2 linked regions of the Rattus norvegicus genome follow. The protein of the gene in region 2 interacts with the protein of the main gene of each other region in a pairwise test. Links are inferred from orthologs where the notes say so. Each region holds a gene or a part of one and is shown on either strand. Other genes may lie near its edges. The genes, in order: Nqo2 and Lrrc7.

Region 1 (4,591 bases), on a different chromosome or scaffold from region 2:
ATCCAAACTGAACGGAAAAGTTTTTGTTTGGAGCTGTGCAAACATTTCAGAGGCAGTCTGATTAGTGTTGTCATCTTTAAAGGAGCCATACAGAGTTCTATTTTATTCTGAAACAAAACATATGAGGTGAGGAGTTGAGGATAGGCTTTCCTGCCTCCTTGCCTGATATTCCTAATTCCACTTGCCCATTTCTGCAACATTAAAGTGACATAAATGATTAACTGGAAATCCCTTGAGGCAATGTTTATTATCGGTGCAGCTCATTTTGAGAGCATGACCCACAGCTGAAACTCAACATTCAATGTTGGTCTTATTTGTTTGCTGTAACTGAAACAATCCCAGACTGGTGGAAAGCTCTTAAGATTGTGTTCCTAGTGAACTCTCAACTTCTACTCAACTTACACCATTATAAACACCAACGGAAACCATTCTGCTTCTAGTCCCCAGTGGAAAGCAGCTTACCTAGAGTGCGTCTGTGAGTTCTTTTACTCACAGACGCAGTTGTACTCCACCCATACATGATCCCACAGGTGCTGGGGCACGTATGCCTGCAGCTCTACTACTAAATGTAGACTATCTCCAGGTCAGGACTCACCGGCAGCTCTGACCCTGCTGAGGAGTGCAGTAAAAATGCCATATTCCACCTCTTAATATAAGAAAATGGCAGCAGAGAGATCAGCACACCACCATTCCTTACATTGGTAAGATGTCCCTGTGGATAGAAAGCCAGAAAGCCAACAGCAAACACACACACACACACACACACACACACACACACACACACACACACAATTTTTCACCTAAAATTCCTACCAGCTCCTTTCCCCAGCTCTCCAACTACATACAGCACTGGCCCCAAGACTTTCCAGCTTTTAAGGGAGGTCCTAGGTCTTGCAACATTTTGTTTTAATTAACTATTTTGTTTTGGCCTATATGTCCGTTCCACTGTTTCCTCCAGTGATGACATCTGGCAAAAGTGTCTTACTGTGGTGTGATGCTGATAGGACAGGCAACGAATGCATCCCTCAACACAAATATTGTTTTTTAATTCTTAAATCTTTGCAACCACTACTCTGATTCCCTGTTCCTGTAATTTGCTCTTTCAGGAAACAGAATCATGAAATGCATAACCTTTCGGGATTGGATGCTCTTACTCTGGGAAATTCCCTGAAGTTTGAAGCCGGATGTATTCACAACTCATTTCTTTTTTGATTGCCCAGTAGTACACTGTGGGGCTTTTCGTGCTGTTTTGCCTGGATATATTAGTGCCTGTGAAGGATAAGGTACAAGGCAGAAAGGCGCCACTACCTATCTCCCAGCACAGGCTTCTGGCCAGATGCAAGGAGCGAAACTGGTTTTGCCCACAACCATGGGGCAGGAACTGCAAGGAGACTGGAGAGGAGGGAAGATTGAAGTCCAATGATTCTGCACTGACAGGCCCTAAAGGGAGTTGTGGGCGGGCTGTTGCCCACAAACGGCCAAAGGTCAGTGTGAGGGCGGGGCCGGGTGGGGAGTGGCCCTGGGCCCCCGTGCGCAGCCGCAGTGCCTGCCGGCACGCTATAGGCATTCCTGCCCTTGACAGTGGCTGTGTCGCGTTTGTGTGCAGTGTTCCCTCCAGGAGGCAGAGGTGAGAGTCTGTTCACTGCTTCCCTGGGGCATGCGCGCCCTTCCTGCAGGCAACTTTGGGGGTGGGGGAAATGCAGGACTAAAGAGGTCCCTTCCGGTTTTTAGCTTGCGTATTAAACTGTGGACCCGTGTTCCCAAGGTTCCTGGCACCTCGAGGCTTTCTTTAAGTATCAGCAGGCGCGTCCACATTGAGTCCAGGTCTTGATTAACGTTAATAGTTGCATTTTGTCAGCCCACTTCTGTATACTGAACAGTTGTGGGTCACTGCATATTTTTTACCAAGGGGTAAAAATAAAAATGAGCCGAGAGCAAAGTTTGTACAGGGTGCCTTCCCTTACCCTGGAACCTGAAGCAACAGCGGTTCACTCTGCCTTCAAGAACTCTGGCCCAAAAGAAATATCAGCTTCTATAACCTTAATGTAAAACTATCGGTTTCTGTAACCCGTAATTTCCGGAAATCTCAGTCAGAAAGATACAGAAGACTGAACTTTTGTGAATCGTAAATGCTTCCAGGGGTAGGGATGGGGGCGAGCTAGCGCACTCTGGGTAAAGATAACCTAAGTGAGCACAGTGCATCAGGCAGGCAATGATGTCAATATGGGATAACATATAAGCGGTTAGAATGACCACAATAGAGCCCACGTGTGTAGAAAGAGGCATGGAAAATGATACAGTGAAAATATCAAAATAACTACTGGAGGTTAAGACAAAATTATGCTTATCTCTAAATATCATATGGCTCATTTCACGTGGCTTGTAGGCTAACAACCACCCCTCCGCCCCAAACAAAACAAACAAAACCCTGGGTAACTTGCAATTTCTAACTAAGGAGAGTATCTGAGAGTGAAGAGCCTGTATCAGGAGATTGTCTCTATGTTCCCATTTCTTATGCTGGGAGAGTTGAGTAAGAGGAAATTTCAACCCTGATGCACCCAGCCAGCCACTCAATGTAATGATACAAATGTGTAAACTGGGCTGAGTAGCACAGATGGGGTGGTGAGGCATGAGGAGGTAGAAGACTGTAAAGTACACCTAATGGCACTGCTGTCAAAGTCCTGGGTCCACTTCGGGAATCTCAGGATGTGTTTTGCTCACCTGCCGTGGCCCTGGGAATCTTTGAAAAGATGTAACAACCTTGGTGCTATCTGCCTAAGGTTTTCTGTTACTCGCTGCATAAAATCTTTATCAGTCCTCATTCCCCGACCCAGATCCCTGGCTGTAGCACTGGCCACTCACTTCAAACCAGAGGCCAGCAAAATAACTTTTCTTGCTGTTTCTTGACCTCTTCCAGATCAGTTCCCATGGGGTCTTTACCCGACTACCTGCCAGCTTACTCTCCTGGACTTCTCTCTTGCTCCAGGTTTTTGAATGGCTAGCTCAATATCACCATTTACTCTCTCTGTTTAGACAACCTTTCTGCAATGGAACAGAGAGAGGAAATGTGGATTTGTGGCATCTACATAATGTTTAGTGACTGAGATATGAGAAAGTCCTCTGATTAGTACTCTGCTAGGGAAACTTTTGATCTGCTCTGTCAACATGCATCACTAACCAAGGGCAGAACTTTGAACTTTGTTTGACCTTTTCTAAGCTTTCCCCTAGACTTAATGAGTAAACAAACAGAACTGTGTCAAAATCTTGTGTCTCAAGTAGCCCAACAACATCAGAACCTAGTTTCATTTTAGCTATATTTCTCTAGTGATCAATGTGCCTTTTCATGTGCTTATTAGGCTCATCTGTATAACTTTGGAGAAAAATATGAATTGGATTGTTTGGTTTTTCATGGTTGATGTTTATCTGAGTTTTGGTTGTGGCTTTTTTTTCCTGCCAATAGCAGGAGATATTGTATCTTAGTTACTTTTCTGTTGCTGTGATGAAACAGTGGCCAAAAGTGACTTGTAGAAGAGTCTATTTTGACTTATGGTTTCAGAGGGATAAGAGTCTACCAAGGCGAGGAAGCATGGCAGCTAGCAGCAGCCATGATGACAGGAGCAGGGATCCCAGAGTTCCCCTTTAATCACAAGCAGGAAGCAGAGAGAGGGAATGGGAAGTGGGGTACGGCCATATAATCTCAAATCCTGCTCCTAGTGATATGCTTCCTCCGGTGAGGCTGTATGTCCCCATAATCTCTCCAAACAGCATCACCAAATGGGAACTGAATGTTCAAATACCAGAGATTATGAGGGTGCATTTCTCATTCGAACCAACACATCCTGCCTCTAGAAAGCTGTCTGGAGATGGCTAGCCAAGACAGTAATGACATATATGAGCCTCTGTGATGGTTTGTATATGCATGACCCAGGGCATGGCACCATTAGGAGGTATGGCCTTATTGGAGTAGGTGTGTCGCTGAGGGCGTGGGCTTTAAGACCTTCATCCTAGCTGCCAGAAAGCCAGTCTTTTCCTGTTTGCCACTGGAAGAAGATGTAAAACTCTCATTTCTGCCTGCACCGCACCTGCCTGGATGCTGCCACATTCCCACCTTGATGATAATGGACTGAACCTCTGAACCTGTAAGCCAGCCCCAATTACATGTTGTCCTTATAAGACTTGCATTGGTCGTAGTGTCTGTTCACAGCAGTAAAACCCTAAGACAGCCTCCTCGTGTTTGAAGCCCATTAGGAAGCACATTTTATCCAAAAACCTTTTACTGAAGGGAGGTGTGCTGGCCAACCCTAGGGCTTGCTTGCACATGCTAAATCCACCCAAGGTCTCCTAGAATCACATTACATTATAGCCAAGTGTGTGCGTGCCATCTTTCTTACTTTCTGGGCCACCCTGTGACTCTAGAGCAGTGCTTCTCAACCTGTGGGCCACAACCCCTCTGAGGTCAAAGGACCCTTTCACCAGAGTCATTTATATATCAGATTATCCTGCATATCAGATTTTTACATTACAGTTCATAACAGTAGCAAACTACAGTTATGAAGTAGCAATGAAGACAATTTTACGGTTGGGAGTCACC
Region 2 (3,095 bases):
AGAAAGAAGTGTCAAAGCAAGGTCCCAGGCAATGTTATCCATCAAAGAGGGGGATCTATCCTTTCAGCTGAAGGCCTCAGGAGCATTTGATGCTCTAACACAAGAACTCTTCCAGGGAGCCCTCCATCTGGCTGCCTTGCACCTCTCCTGTAGAAGGCCGTGTAGCCCTGATGGCTGCTTTCTGAGTGTTTCAAACTTTCACACTGCTCTGAGCTTGGCTTGCTTCTCTTGGCGGAGGCTAAGCCTAGAACATCCGCCATAGTAATGTGCTGTGAGTTTTTGACCCAGAAAATTAGGCTTTGAAAGACACTTCTCATTAGAAGCTCTCAATATATTAAAATGCACAGAATAGTCGCTTCTGTGTAAAAGGCCAATCTAGAATCAGCAGCTAATTGTCCAGGTCTATAAGACTATGTATGGTATTGTGTCATCCTGGCATAAAAATCAACACCAGAGCTAGTGTATTGTTTGGAAAATGAAGTAACATTTTTCTCCAAGTGACAAATTCTATGCCAAAAGAAACCACTGTACTTCTAATAAGTGACACTCATTTTAATAGATCCTACAAAAATACAATATTTTCAATGTCCCCATAAAACAAACTTACAAATATTATCCTCAGAGCTCTGGTGACATCCACGTGTGATTTTACTGTAAAATTCTATAGAATATTTAAACACTACCATACGAGATAAATTTATTGTATAAAAAAAGTGATGTAGATATTTCAGGGAATGTATACAACCAATTATGGAAAGCTGATCTGAAATTTTTAAATTAATATTCTAATCAAATTAATGACTAATATAAAAAGAAATACTTTAAAGGATTATAAAACAAATTTTGAATTTTGACACAGGGAAACAGAGTGCAAAAAGCACATTAACTAGGCTGTTTTCACTCTCTAGTATAATTGAATTCATGTTTATGTTCCTTAAAACTTTTCATTTGGAGAGAAAAAAAACAATTTGTCTATTTCTGTCCACAAAACAAAACAGGAATTAAGATTAATGATATCAGTAGACCACAGCTCTGAGAAATCATATCTGAAGTTTCATATTTCAATACCAAAGTTTTGAAACCACCGTAGCTTTCTGACAAGTCTTTCTCTATAATAAACGTTATCAATTCCCAAAATTCATTTAAAATGATTTAAAAGTGTAGCAAATTAAATAAATCGGCACACAGAGAAGTTCCACATTTACAGTAAAGGGATCACAGGGGCCACAGTTTATAGTAAACATAACCCCGAGAAAACAGAACATTAAAGCATTAAGCCTTCCCCGCCACCCATCACTCACTGCTTGTGGATTTGGTGAAGAGGCCAGTCCGCAGTAGCCTGTGGTCTGTCTCTGAAGTCTGCTCGTGTCCTCTAAATTAGCTAAAGGCCTTGAACAGATTTACCTTCTCCGGTTTTTACTCAGGTCCCAGAGATTAATGGATAATTATGAATCATTCCACTCTACCGTGGGAATTTAGCAAATGGCTGTGGAACCAAATATAAATCCTTTATACTTTATGTACAGTTGCTTCCATAAGGCGTAATCATGTAATTTTTTTATTGAAAAAGATTCAATATAGTAAAGTCTTATTTTTAAGATATATTTTCTTTCTCGGTCCAAGATGTTTACGAAAATATCGTTTTTCTATATTCTTTTTTTGTTTATATGCCAACATATACCTTGTGCTAGAAATACTTTATGGGGTTACAACTCTTTATATACAATTTTTTTTGAGGCAGTATCTCTGATGGAGAGCATAACTTGTAAAGAGCTTGTGTGTGCTTCCGTGCTCCGAAATGATAGGAAATCCACTTTGAGAAGACAACTTATTTGATTTTAAAAAAACAAAAACAAAAACAAAAACAGAAACAAAACCGCACCAATGCACAGCCAGAGGCTGCCGCTGGAACTGATACAGAACCGCGCAAACGCCGTGATTATAAGTAACATTTTCCAGGGTGGTCAAGGCTAACGTACAATATTATACACCTGGCACTGATGTTTGCCATTGGTCCAGCAACTGGCAAAATTTGTTTCTATGTATAAATTTATTTTTAAACATTATCTCTGGCCTGACATATCTTCACTATTTATAAAAACATTTAGACAGTGAGCTCACGTTGAATAACTAGGTCTACTGTGTTCTGGAAGCTCTTCAGTAGTAAAACAGCTTTTTCGTGTTCCATATGCACAAAACTGTGTCCATTTGCCTGAAAACACAGGAATAAAACAGGTCAGTCCATGCAAACCGTTTATCCCCTCTGCACCATTGTGATTACAGGACTCCAAGGAGCACAGCAACAAGATTCTTAAGATTCAGAGTGAAATGGCTTTGACAAGTATTTATCACACACCCAGTATTTCTTTGTTTGTGTGTGATCATAGTGTCCTACTGAGTAGGATCAGTCAGGTGGACTTACGACACAGCAGTTCAGTTTTACTGTGTTGTTCTTTGTTTTGTCATTGGGGTTTTGCTGTGCTAGAGATAGAACTCAGGTCCTGGTACATTCTGGGCAAGCACTCTGCAAGAGAGCCATGCCCCAGCCTCGTCTGTACACGTACCTAGTTGAGGCAGCACTTAGTTGACATTATTACTGGCACCAACTCACCAGTATATCTTTAAATTATTATTTTTATTTTCATGTATGTGTATGTGTCTGTGAATGCTGGTCATATATACGTGGGAGCCTGTGGAGACCAGAAGAGGGCATTGGACCCCTGGAAATGGTGTTACAGGTGGTTATGGGCTGCTTGGCATGGGTGCCAGGAACCACACTCAGGTCCTTTGTAAGAGAAGCGTGGCTTTTACCCACTGAGCTGTCTCTCTAGCTCCACGTTAGATATTTTAATCATGCCAAGTGTAAGTGAACACTTATGGCACTGTTTAATCTTATTTTGACCTACTAAAAATAGTTGATTTATATATTCTTTAAATTAAAATGATCTATTACTAAATGCTACTATTGTTTCCAATATCTGCACTTTTTTTAAATTAAACACAGTTCAGTGAATCCATGTCTTAGGAATAAAGCAGCAGCATTAGTCACAGAGAAAGCCTGCAATACTCTAGCTAAGGGTCATCAAGCAAGTCAT

The links.
Region 1: the proteins of Lrrc7 (region 2) and Nqo2 interact in a two-hybrid assay, tested with the Homo sapiens proteins (2 studies listed by BioGRID). The two-hybrid records come from large-scale screens. The link is inferred for Rattus norvegicus from reciprocal best matches to the Homo sapiens genes LRRC7 and NQO2.

Annotation. Positions count from the first base shown.
Region 1 is NC_086035.1:31,140,677-31,145,267, reverse strand, and holds the start of Nqo2 (ribosyldihydronicotinamide dehydrogenase [quinone]), read left to right. Parts: upstream 1-1,605; 5' UTR 1,606-1,627; intron 1,628-1,697; exon of another isoform or gene 1,698-4,139; intron 4,140-4,591. UniProt on the Homo sapiens protein: The enzyme apparently serves as a quinone reductase in connection with conjugation reactions of hydroquinones involved in detoxification pathways as well as in biosynthetic processes such as the vitamin K-dependent gamma-carboxylation of glutamate residues in prothrombin synthesis.
Region 2 is NC_086020.1:249,804,917-249,808,011, forward strand, and holds the end of Lrrc7 (leucine-rich repeat-containing protein 7), read right to left. Parts: intron 2,213-3,095; coding exon 2,105-2,212; 3' UTR 532-2,104; downstream 1-531.